Linked DNA regions of Daphnia pulex. The protein of the gene in region 1 binds, or shares a complex with, the protein of each later gene. Links are inferred from orthologs where the notes say so. Each region holds a gene or a part of one and is shown on either strand. Other genes may lie near its edges.

The links.
Region 2: COP9 signalosome complex subunit 7b-like (region 1) and COP9 signalosome complex subunit 3-like share a complex: the UniProt entries of both Drosophila melanogaster proteins name them as parts of the CSN complex. The link is inferred for Daphnia pulex from reciprocal best matches to the Drosophila melanogaster genes CSN7 and CSN3.

Annotation. Positions count from the first base shown.
Region 1 is NC_060017.1:4,235,341-4,239,002, forward strand, and holds COP9 signalosome complex subunit 7b-like, read left to right. Parts: upstream 1-1,356; 5' UTR 1,357-1,643; intron 1,644-1,715; 5' UTR 1,716-1,744; coding exon 1,745-1,909; intron 1,910-1,968; coding exon 1,969-2,133; intron 2,134-2,235; coding exon 2,236-2,323; intron 2,324-2,385; coding exon 2,386-2,639; intron 2,640-2,704; coding exon 2,705-2,836; 3' UTR 2,837-2,965; downstream 2,966-3,662. Other genes in the region: chloride intracellular channel exl-1-like, read right to left, coding at 1-40, 117-201, 270-329, 398-433. UniProt on the Drosophila melanogaster protein: Component of the COP9 signalosome complex (CSN), a complex involved in various cellular and developmental processes.
Region 2 is NC_060018.1:6,888,441-6,892,559, forward strand, and holds COP9 signalosome complex subunit 3-like, read left to right. Parts: upstream 1-1,447; 5' UTR 1,448-1,552; coding exon 1,553-1,607; intron 1,608-1,685; coding exon 1,686-1,958; intron 1,959-2,018; coding exon 2,019-2,236; intron 2,237-2,302; coding exon 2,303-2,497; intron 2,498-2,566; coding exon 2,567-2,878; intron 2,879-2,942; coding exon 2,943-3,056; intron 3,057-3,123; coding exon 3,124-3,303; 3' UTR 3,304-3,421; downstream 3,422-4,119. Other genes in the region: evolutionarily conserved signaling intermediate in Toll pathway, mitochondrial-like, read right to left, coding at 1-7, 83-535, 598-1,048. UniProt on the Drosophila melanogaster protein: Component of the COP9 signalosome complex (CSN), a complex involved in various cellular and developmental processes.

The DNA.
Region 1 (3,662 bases):
AGGGACGGAACACGGCGCAATCCGCGTTGATGAAAAATTTCTTTGGAAAAAAGTTATACATTTATTTTTAGTCCATAAAAGTTTATGCGAATTTATCCCAACTACGGATCGTGTACCTGGTGGTTTAGCTAAATTTACGGTGACGGATCTGAAGTGGAAGGGATGCTGTAGAGATTTCGTCAATACTACCATGAAGGCTCTCTGTAATAATTGTAATAAAATCTTGTTAACGTAATCCAGATCCCCATTTAACTAAGAAATCAACGAACCTGACAAAATGGACAGGCTCCGTAGCGCTTTCCGTCTGCTCCCGCCTTGACGTACAACACCTAGCAACAAAAAATGACGTCATCGGAAAATAAAAAATGAAGCAAACTGGTAAAAACAGAACCCTTACCATCATTTGTTGTGAACTTTGAACATCTAAACTCATTTTTTCCGCTGCGCTCAAAATTTCAGATTTATTTACAAGGGAAGTCACTCTTGTATTTACCAAGTACGCAGACGTAAAGCACCCGTAAGGAAATATGAAATAGTCTGGCAGCTGCTGTACAGCCGCGATGAGAAACTCACACTTCTAAAACCCGAATAAGCCAAAATTTAACCAACAGTCTCCAGCAGGTTTATTTTTGGCCGCCCTAAACATGCACACTAACTAAATGAACCGTTTTCTAATATCAGCAGTCAGCACAATGTCGAAGTAGAACCAATAAAGAAGCAAAGATACGGGTGTTGAAGCTTGCGACACTGTCTGAAATTCGCAGTGGTGAACACAAGAAGAATGCTCGGCACCAAAAACACGAGACTAAAGGCTCTATCTGCCCATATACTAGCAGCTAACCGACGCTCAACATGAAATAAGCCCGAGGGACCACAACAAATGCTGTTTCCCAGTTCTTTTTTTATCTAAAAACTTTCACTCACTTCTCTTCCTAACCATCCATCCCCCCTCTCTCTTTTGCCATCCGCAACCCGCAAGTCTTTTTTCGGCTTTCAAGTCGGAATTGTTTTTTCACATGCTGTCATTTGTGCTGGTTTGACTCGACCTTTTTCATGTTATTGTTTATTGTACTTTTTTTGCTTTCAACCCACAGCCGAAATATGTGAATAATTAGTTCATCCGTTGAGGGGGGGGGGATGGGGTGCGGAAGGCGGAATTGACTGGTAAAGTGCGAGATTGAGGTGCGGATTCTCCGCACTTTACTTATTCTCCCCATCCGGACACTTTTGTAAAAGTTTGAATTTTTTAAAGAATTAATTATAGTATTTCTGACCTGATCTAAAGCAACCAAACCTAACCAGCTCTGTTTTAACTATTATCGCACAATCAAAAGTGACAATGTTGCTAAACTTACTAAACACAGCTTACTACAACATTAAGTCACATTATAAAATGAAACTAAAGTTATTTGTACTGCTGAATAGTGAATACGATTAATTTTTATTTTTGCGCCCTAGTAGTTTTGAACTATTTGAAATGCATTCCCCATTCCCATTGTTTCTGTTTCCGCGCAACCATATTTTAGAAGCTCCGAATAAGTTGCGCGGACTGCTTACAGACTACAGTGAATCTCATTCTTCTATACAATATACCTTGGCTATGCTATCAGACGTTGTAGTAGGTTATTAAAGAAGATCTTTTGGTAAATACAGCTTACATTTTATCATTTTTTTCCGCAAATGTAAGAATAACTGTCTCATTTCTGGTTCAATAGTCATTTATGCGAAAATTGTGGTGCCGAATATGACGACTGACACTAAACCTACCAGTTTCAACCCCCTTGAACAGTTTGTACTGTTAGCAAAGTCGGCTAAAGGGGCTGCAGCTGTTGAATTAGTAAAGCAGGCTTTAGAAGCTCCTGGCGTTTATGTGTTTGGTGAACTACTCGACATGCCCAATATTACAGAGGTGAATTTTTTTTATGTTTAATCGATGAAATTTTCTCATTTATGCATATTTTTTTCTAGCTTCAAACTGATCAATTTCAACCTTACTACAATTTGCTGAAATTATTTGCCTTTGGAACATACAGACAATATCTTGAAAACAGTAGTTCATTGCCCGAGCTAACACCATTTCAGCAGCAGAAACTGAGACACTTAACAATTGTGACATTATCTGAAACCAACAAAGTGAGTATTGCTATCATTGTTGCATGCAGTCATCAATGGCATCTTAAGTTAAAGTTCACAGCTACTGTAGTTTGTTTTTATTAATTGTTGTTTCAATTTTAGTGCATTCCATATGAAGTGTTGGTCCAACAACTTGATATGAAGAATCTCAGAGAACTTGAAGATCTTGTCATTGAAGCCATCTATGGAGGTTTGCCACCAAAATTATTAATTAATACATCTTGATTTTATCATCAACAATTATTCTTTCAGACGTTATTCATGGGAAATTAGACCAGCGTAACGGTCGTTTGGAAGTTGATTTTGCAATTGGTCGAGATGCTCAAGTCAAAGACATTGGCCGAATCATTCAAACTTTGAACGATTGGTGTGAAGCATGTGATGCAATTCTCGGAGCCGTTGAAACCCAAGTCATGAATGCAAATTGTGAAAAGGAAAAGCATATCAAGCATCGTGTCGCTATCGAGGAGGAAGTTTTGAATATTAAAAAAACCTTGAAATCCCAAGTATATCTAGCACTACAATTATTTGAAATTCTTAAAACTAAATCTGAATGCTTGAAACTTGACAGATCCAGGAAAGCGATGATATATCTCTTACTGGTGAAACGCGCAATGAAATGTTAGGTGACAAAGGTAAGAAGCTTGCCAAGGGAAAAGGATTGAAGACCAATGTTCCAAATAAGTTTTGGAATAAATCCTGAAAATTTGTAATTACTCCTTAATGTTTGTATTCACTTATCCCTGAAAGCATTGGACTTGATTCACCCATGGTATTGTTGTCTCAAAGAGTGTTCGCAATGAAATAAATAAAGAAAATTTCTTTAACTGCACTTGCTGACGAGCATTGATATTCATCATCCGCCAAGGCCAATGTCTATTTCTAGGAACTCGGAACTTGGCGGTTTTTCTTGTTCAAATTTTAGGTAGCTGTACAAGCATTTTAAATGCAGTAAAGAGATTCAGTCATGAAACCAAATAACAGTTGTGTACATATCTTCACGCTATTTTCAAATGGAAAACAAAAAAGCTTGGATTGCGCAACAATTTCGTCACAGTATTTTCATTTGTTCCAGACGCTGACTTTGAGCTTTGAAGTACCGTTCTGCCATGTAGGTAACTTTCTCGATGTATGTAATCCCTTTTGTGATCTCTTCCCCTATTCTGATGACCAGCAGACTTTTCTCTTCTAACCCTGTGATGTCACATGCTTTTTGGCTTAGAGTAGCGCAATTCACGCACGCATCGTTGAACGCAATCAATTTAGATGCGCTACCTACTATTCGTACTACTGGATGAGTACGGTAGAGGGCTCTCTCAGTTTTTAGATTTGTATTGCCGCTGTAGTCCCGAAGCACACGAAGGGTGCGTCCGTTTTGTAATCATCGAGTCATTTGATCACGTGATCTGTACAACAACCAGTTACCAACGAGATTTTTATTTCAGTAAGTTATCAAATTATCGGAGTTTGGTGTTTTGCGGTGCTGCCAAGTTGTGGTTTCTTCGTAAGATGACGTCTTTTTCAAACAC
Region 2 (4,119 bases), on another chromosome or scaffold:
CTTACATCTTGAACAAATCGAAGAATAAAATTAGAAAACTAGAATGAAGAAAATTGAAACTAAACTGTTTCAGTACACATACCATCATAATCATATTCATTCTGCTGTTTCTGCTCTTCTTCCGTTAACGGAACAGGTTCAGAACGCAAAATAAAGTAATTTATACTGGTTCTTCTTAACCAAATTGTGAAAGCGCCTTCAACGTAGACGGTTTGCTTTTCTTTGAGTTTGGCTAAAAGGTCTCTTTGATTGGCGCTTTGACCATTGACGATCCAAGTATCGTCAATGGCGTCTTGCAACTCACTAGTCTGAAAAATGTTCATCTCTGTAGCTGGATCAACACTACCCATTCTCTGGACAGCAAGTTTTGCTATTTCAAGATTTGAGTTAGGAATCTTTTGGGGGAGTGCCCATGGAGATTGGTTTTTAAACTTAGGCATCCAATAAGCCATCCTTCTAAGTTTTTTGGTGGGAGCTCCATGGCGACCAAAAATATTAAGAACCATTTGGTCAGTTTCTTTATCTGGACAAACACCTAAAAATGAAATAAAAACACATAAAATAATTTAAACTGATTTGAGGCAAAGATATTCTAACCATTGTTTTCCATCTGTTCCAGAACATCTATTATACATTGCTGTTGTTTTGGATAATGCATAAATTCTGCTTGAAACATATTTGTTGGAATATATTTTCCCTTTGGTAATATATCAATGATGTCTTTATATGCTTCCAGGTCACGATGCACACCAAATTCTTCCATTTCCTTCAGAGCAGCATAGATGAATTCCACTTGTGCCCTACGGGGCCCTGGTCTTGTTGTGTAAATTTTTACAGCTTCTAAGAATGTGTCTTTATTTCTATCTCCTTCTGGAACATAAAACATAGAAGGTCTAACAATCAGTTCGTTGGGTTCTTTATTTTTAAAATGAAGACTATTTATATGAATGTGACGGATCTGTAAGCATGGCAGTAGCTTGCAATTATGAACTTGAGGTAAGGCTCTTTGGAGAATTCGATTCAAACTTAAACCAAATTTTACTGCCATTATAATACTAATGGCTATTCAAAGCAGGAAAATAATCAACAAAATTCGAACTATTTGTAAAAATACCAGAAATACATAGAATTGTCACAACAAATTCAAGAGTAGGCGAAAATGGGATTTGTTATTGTTTTTTTCCTCTTTCAACTTTTAACGTCTGCTAAAATTTCAACTTCATTGATGATAGATGGCAGGGATTCATAAAAAAAGTTTCTTATTTGATTAAAAACTTGATTACTTTCGATTATTCATCATCAAATTAGAATAAAATTAAATCGCGGTTATTTCGCTTATAATTATGTTCATTTTGTTTTTAAATTATTCAGTAAAAGTGTTTGTGTGATCCTGCCGCCACCCGCCAGTGGTGCTACTTGCATCTACGAATATACCCTCTATTGGCGCGTTTATCAACGAATAAAGACAACTGCAGACGACGTTTGCTGGCTCATCCAAATATTTCTCTCTTCAATTCAATATCTTTCAATCTAATATTCTTCAAATTTGAATATGGCGTCATCCCTAGAACATTTTGTAAATTCTGTTCGTAATCTCTCTGGCGAAGGTTTGTTTTGAACGACAGTTGTATTTCATAATTTGTGGACACTAAAAATATTCAATTTTCTATGTATCAAACTGATAGGAAGCTGGCGAGAACTATATGATTTTCTCGGCAAGTCGCCCGACGTACTCATGAGGAATTCCGAACATTTAGACACTGTTCTGGATACTCTTGACCCACAACTTCACAGTCTAGGTGTTTTGGCAATTTACATGGTAAAGTTCATGATTCTCAACCAAAATGCAGCTCAAAATCAAGGAATTCAAGTTCCAGAACCCGAAGTGCTCATCAGTCAAGTCAGTCAGTTCATCACAGTTTGCAATGGTGAACAAATTCGCTGTGCTCCTGACTCATGTAAGCTTCTAATATTGCACTCTTACAATTGAATAATTCATAATAAATTGTTCTGTGCAGTCGCTGAGCTGTGTAACCAGTTTACCCAATGCCTAGTGGAACGAGAGACACCTGCCAGGGGTATTGTTCCCCTTACCAAAGCTATTCGGAAAGCCAGAATGAATGAAACACAGCTGACGTCTATCCACGCTAGCCTTCTCCAACTCTGTTTGATGGCACAGAATTTAAAACCTGCCTTGGAGTTTTTGAATGTTGAGATTTCTGAAATCAATTCAGAGGTAAATTGCTTTTTCAGGTTCTAGTGCACTGATTACAGAAAATTCTAATGACAAATGTGTTTGTAGAATGGATATTTTGATGCCAAGCATTTCTTGCTCTACTACTACTATGGGGGAGTTATCAACATGGCTGTCAAAAACTTTGAGCGAGCCCTGTATTCATTCGAAGTAGCTTTGACGACACCATCTTCAGCCGTATCTCACATCATGCTGGAATCGTACAAAAAGTACATTCTCGTCTCACTCATTCTTCATGGAAAGGTATGGATCAAATAGTCGCGCAATGTTCGTTCAATTTCCGATTCACATTGTCATTTGAAACGAGACTAGGTGGCACCTCTTCCCAAATACACATCTCAAGTGGTTAATCGGCTCCTGAAACCCATGAGCGCCATCTACCACGAAATCACGACGGTATTTGCTACCAACAAGCCGACGTCACTGGAACTTGTCCTCCAAAAGCACCGAGAATTGTTACAGCGTGAAAATAACTGGGGTCTGGCCAAACAAGTACAACAATCGCTCTACAAGAAGATTATTCAGCGACTGACTCAGACTTTTCTGACGCTTTCGCTCAGCGATATGGCCCTGCGAGTTCAGTTGCCCAGCGTGATGGAAGCGGAAAAACTCGTCTTGACCATGGTATTTGCTTTCAAGATGCTAAAAGATGACGATCAAACTATGTGTTTGTTTTCTTCTTCAAAAGATTGAAGATGGGGATATTTACGCCAGCATTAGCCAGAAAGACGGGATGGTATTGTTTCACGACAATCCGGACAAATACGACAGCACTTCAACTGTTGAGCGCGTTCAGAAAGAGGTATTTCGATAGTAGCCGGCAGAAATGTGTACCAGATAATTGACCTCATGGCTACTCGTTTGGGTAGGTCAACATTTGCATCGAGCTGGACATGCAGGTGCAGAAGATGGAGGAAGCCATCTGCACGAACCCGGTTTTCGTGAAGAAGGCGTCAGGTGCCATGGAAGAGGACGATGGAGGGAGGAGTTCAGCTTCGTCAGCCCTTCAGGCCGGTGCGGCAACCAAAGTTCCCTCCTTCTCCATGTGATCACCTATGATGCTCTTTAAAACACCAACTAATCCATAACGTCTCGATAAAATAATTACTTTCACATTTTTTTGTTAAATAACTAAGTGAGGATTCATACACGGATTAAAAACAAAAATTTAGTTTTTTTTTTTCAAAAATTGTATTGATAAACATCACACATAAAACTGTACACGATTTCCAACACACATAAATTCCAAAGTCAGACAGTCTGTCTATGCATCTAGTCGAGGCCATCCACAAAATCAGCTTTCACAATGATCTCAGAAATTCAAACAATATCTGGCAGATCACTGAGAAAACTAGTCTCGAGGTTTAAAAGCCGAAAATTCACACTGTCGGTAGAGCAACACACCCACACATGGCCGAAGCCGACTGGATACTGTTTGCTTGGTCCAACGGCGGATGAATGGAGAGCCCCAACTTCGAGGAGTGTCTACCACCAAGAGATAGAGGGCGCGCGCGCATTGATGTGATAAGATTAAAAACGAAAAACGCCAAACTGTTTGGAGGCAGGCGGAGATGTGTGTCTGCTAAGTGGCCTAGTAGACGAATAAGTAGGAGAAAGGTTGTAAATAAAGGAAGGACATTAAAAGAGAAAAGATGTGCGCATTCCAATGAACTTTGTCTGTCCCACATTGGTGACCGGTAAAAATGCAGACGGGAAAAATACAAAAAGGAGGCTGTGTGAGCCTGCTCTCTCTTTCTCTGCGCTTCGAGAAAGTCCGCATAAGGTGCACACAAACCAGTTTATGACGGAAAGGGAAGCCTACAATACCCAGCAGAAGATAATGAAAGAACGATATTTTAAGAGCG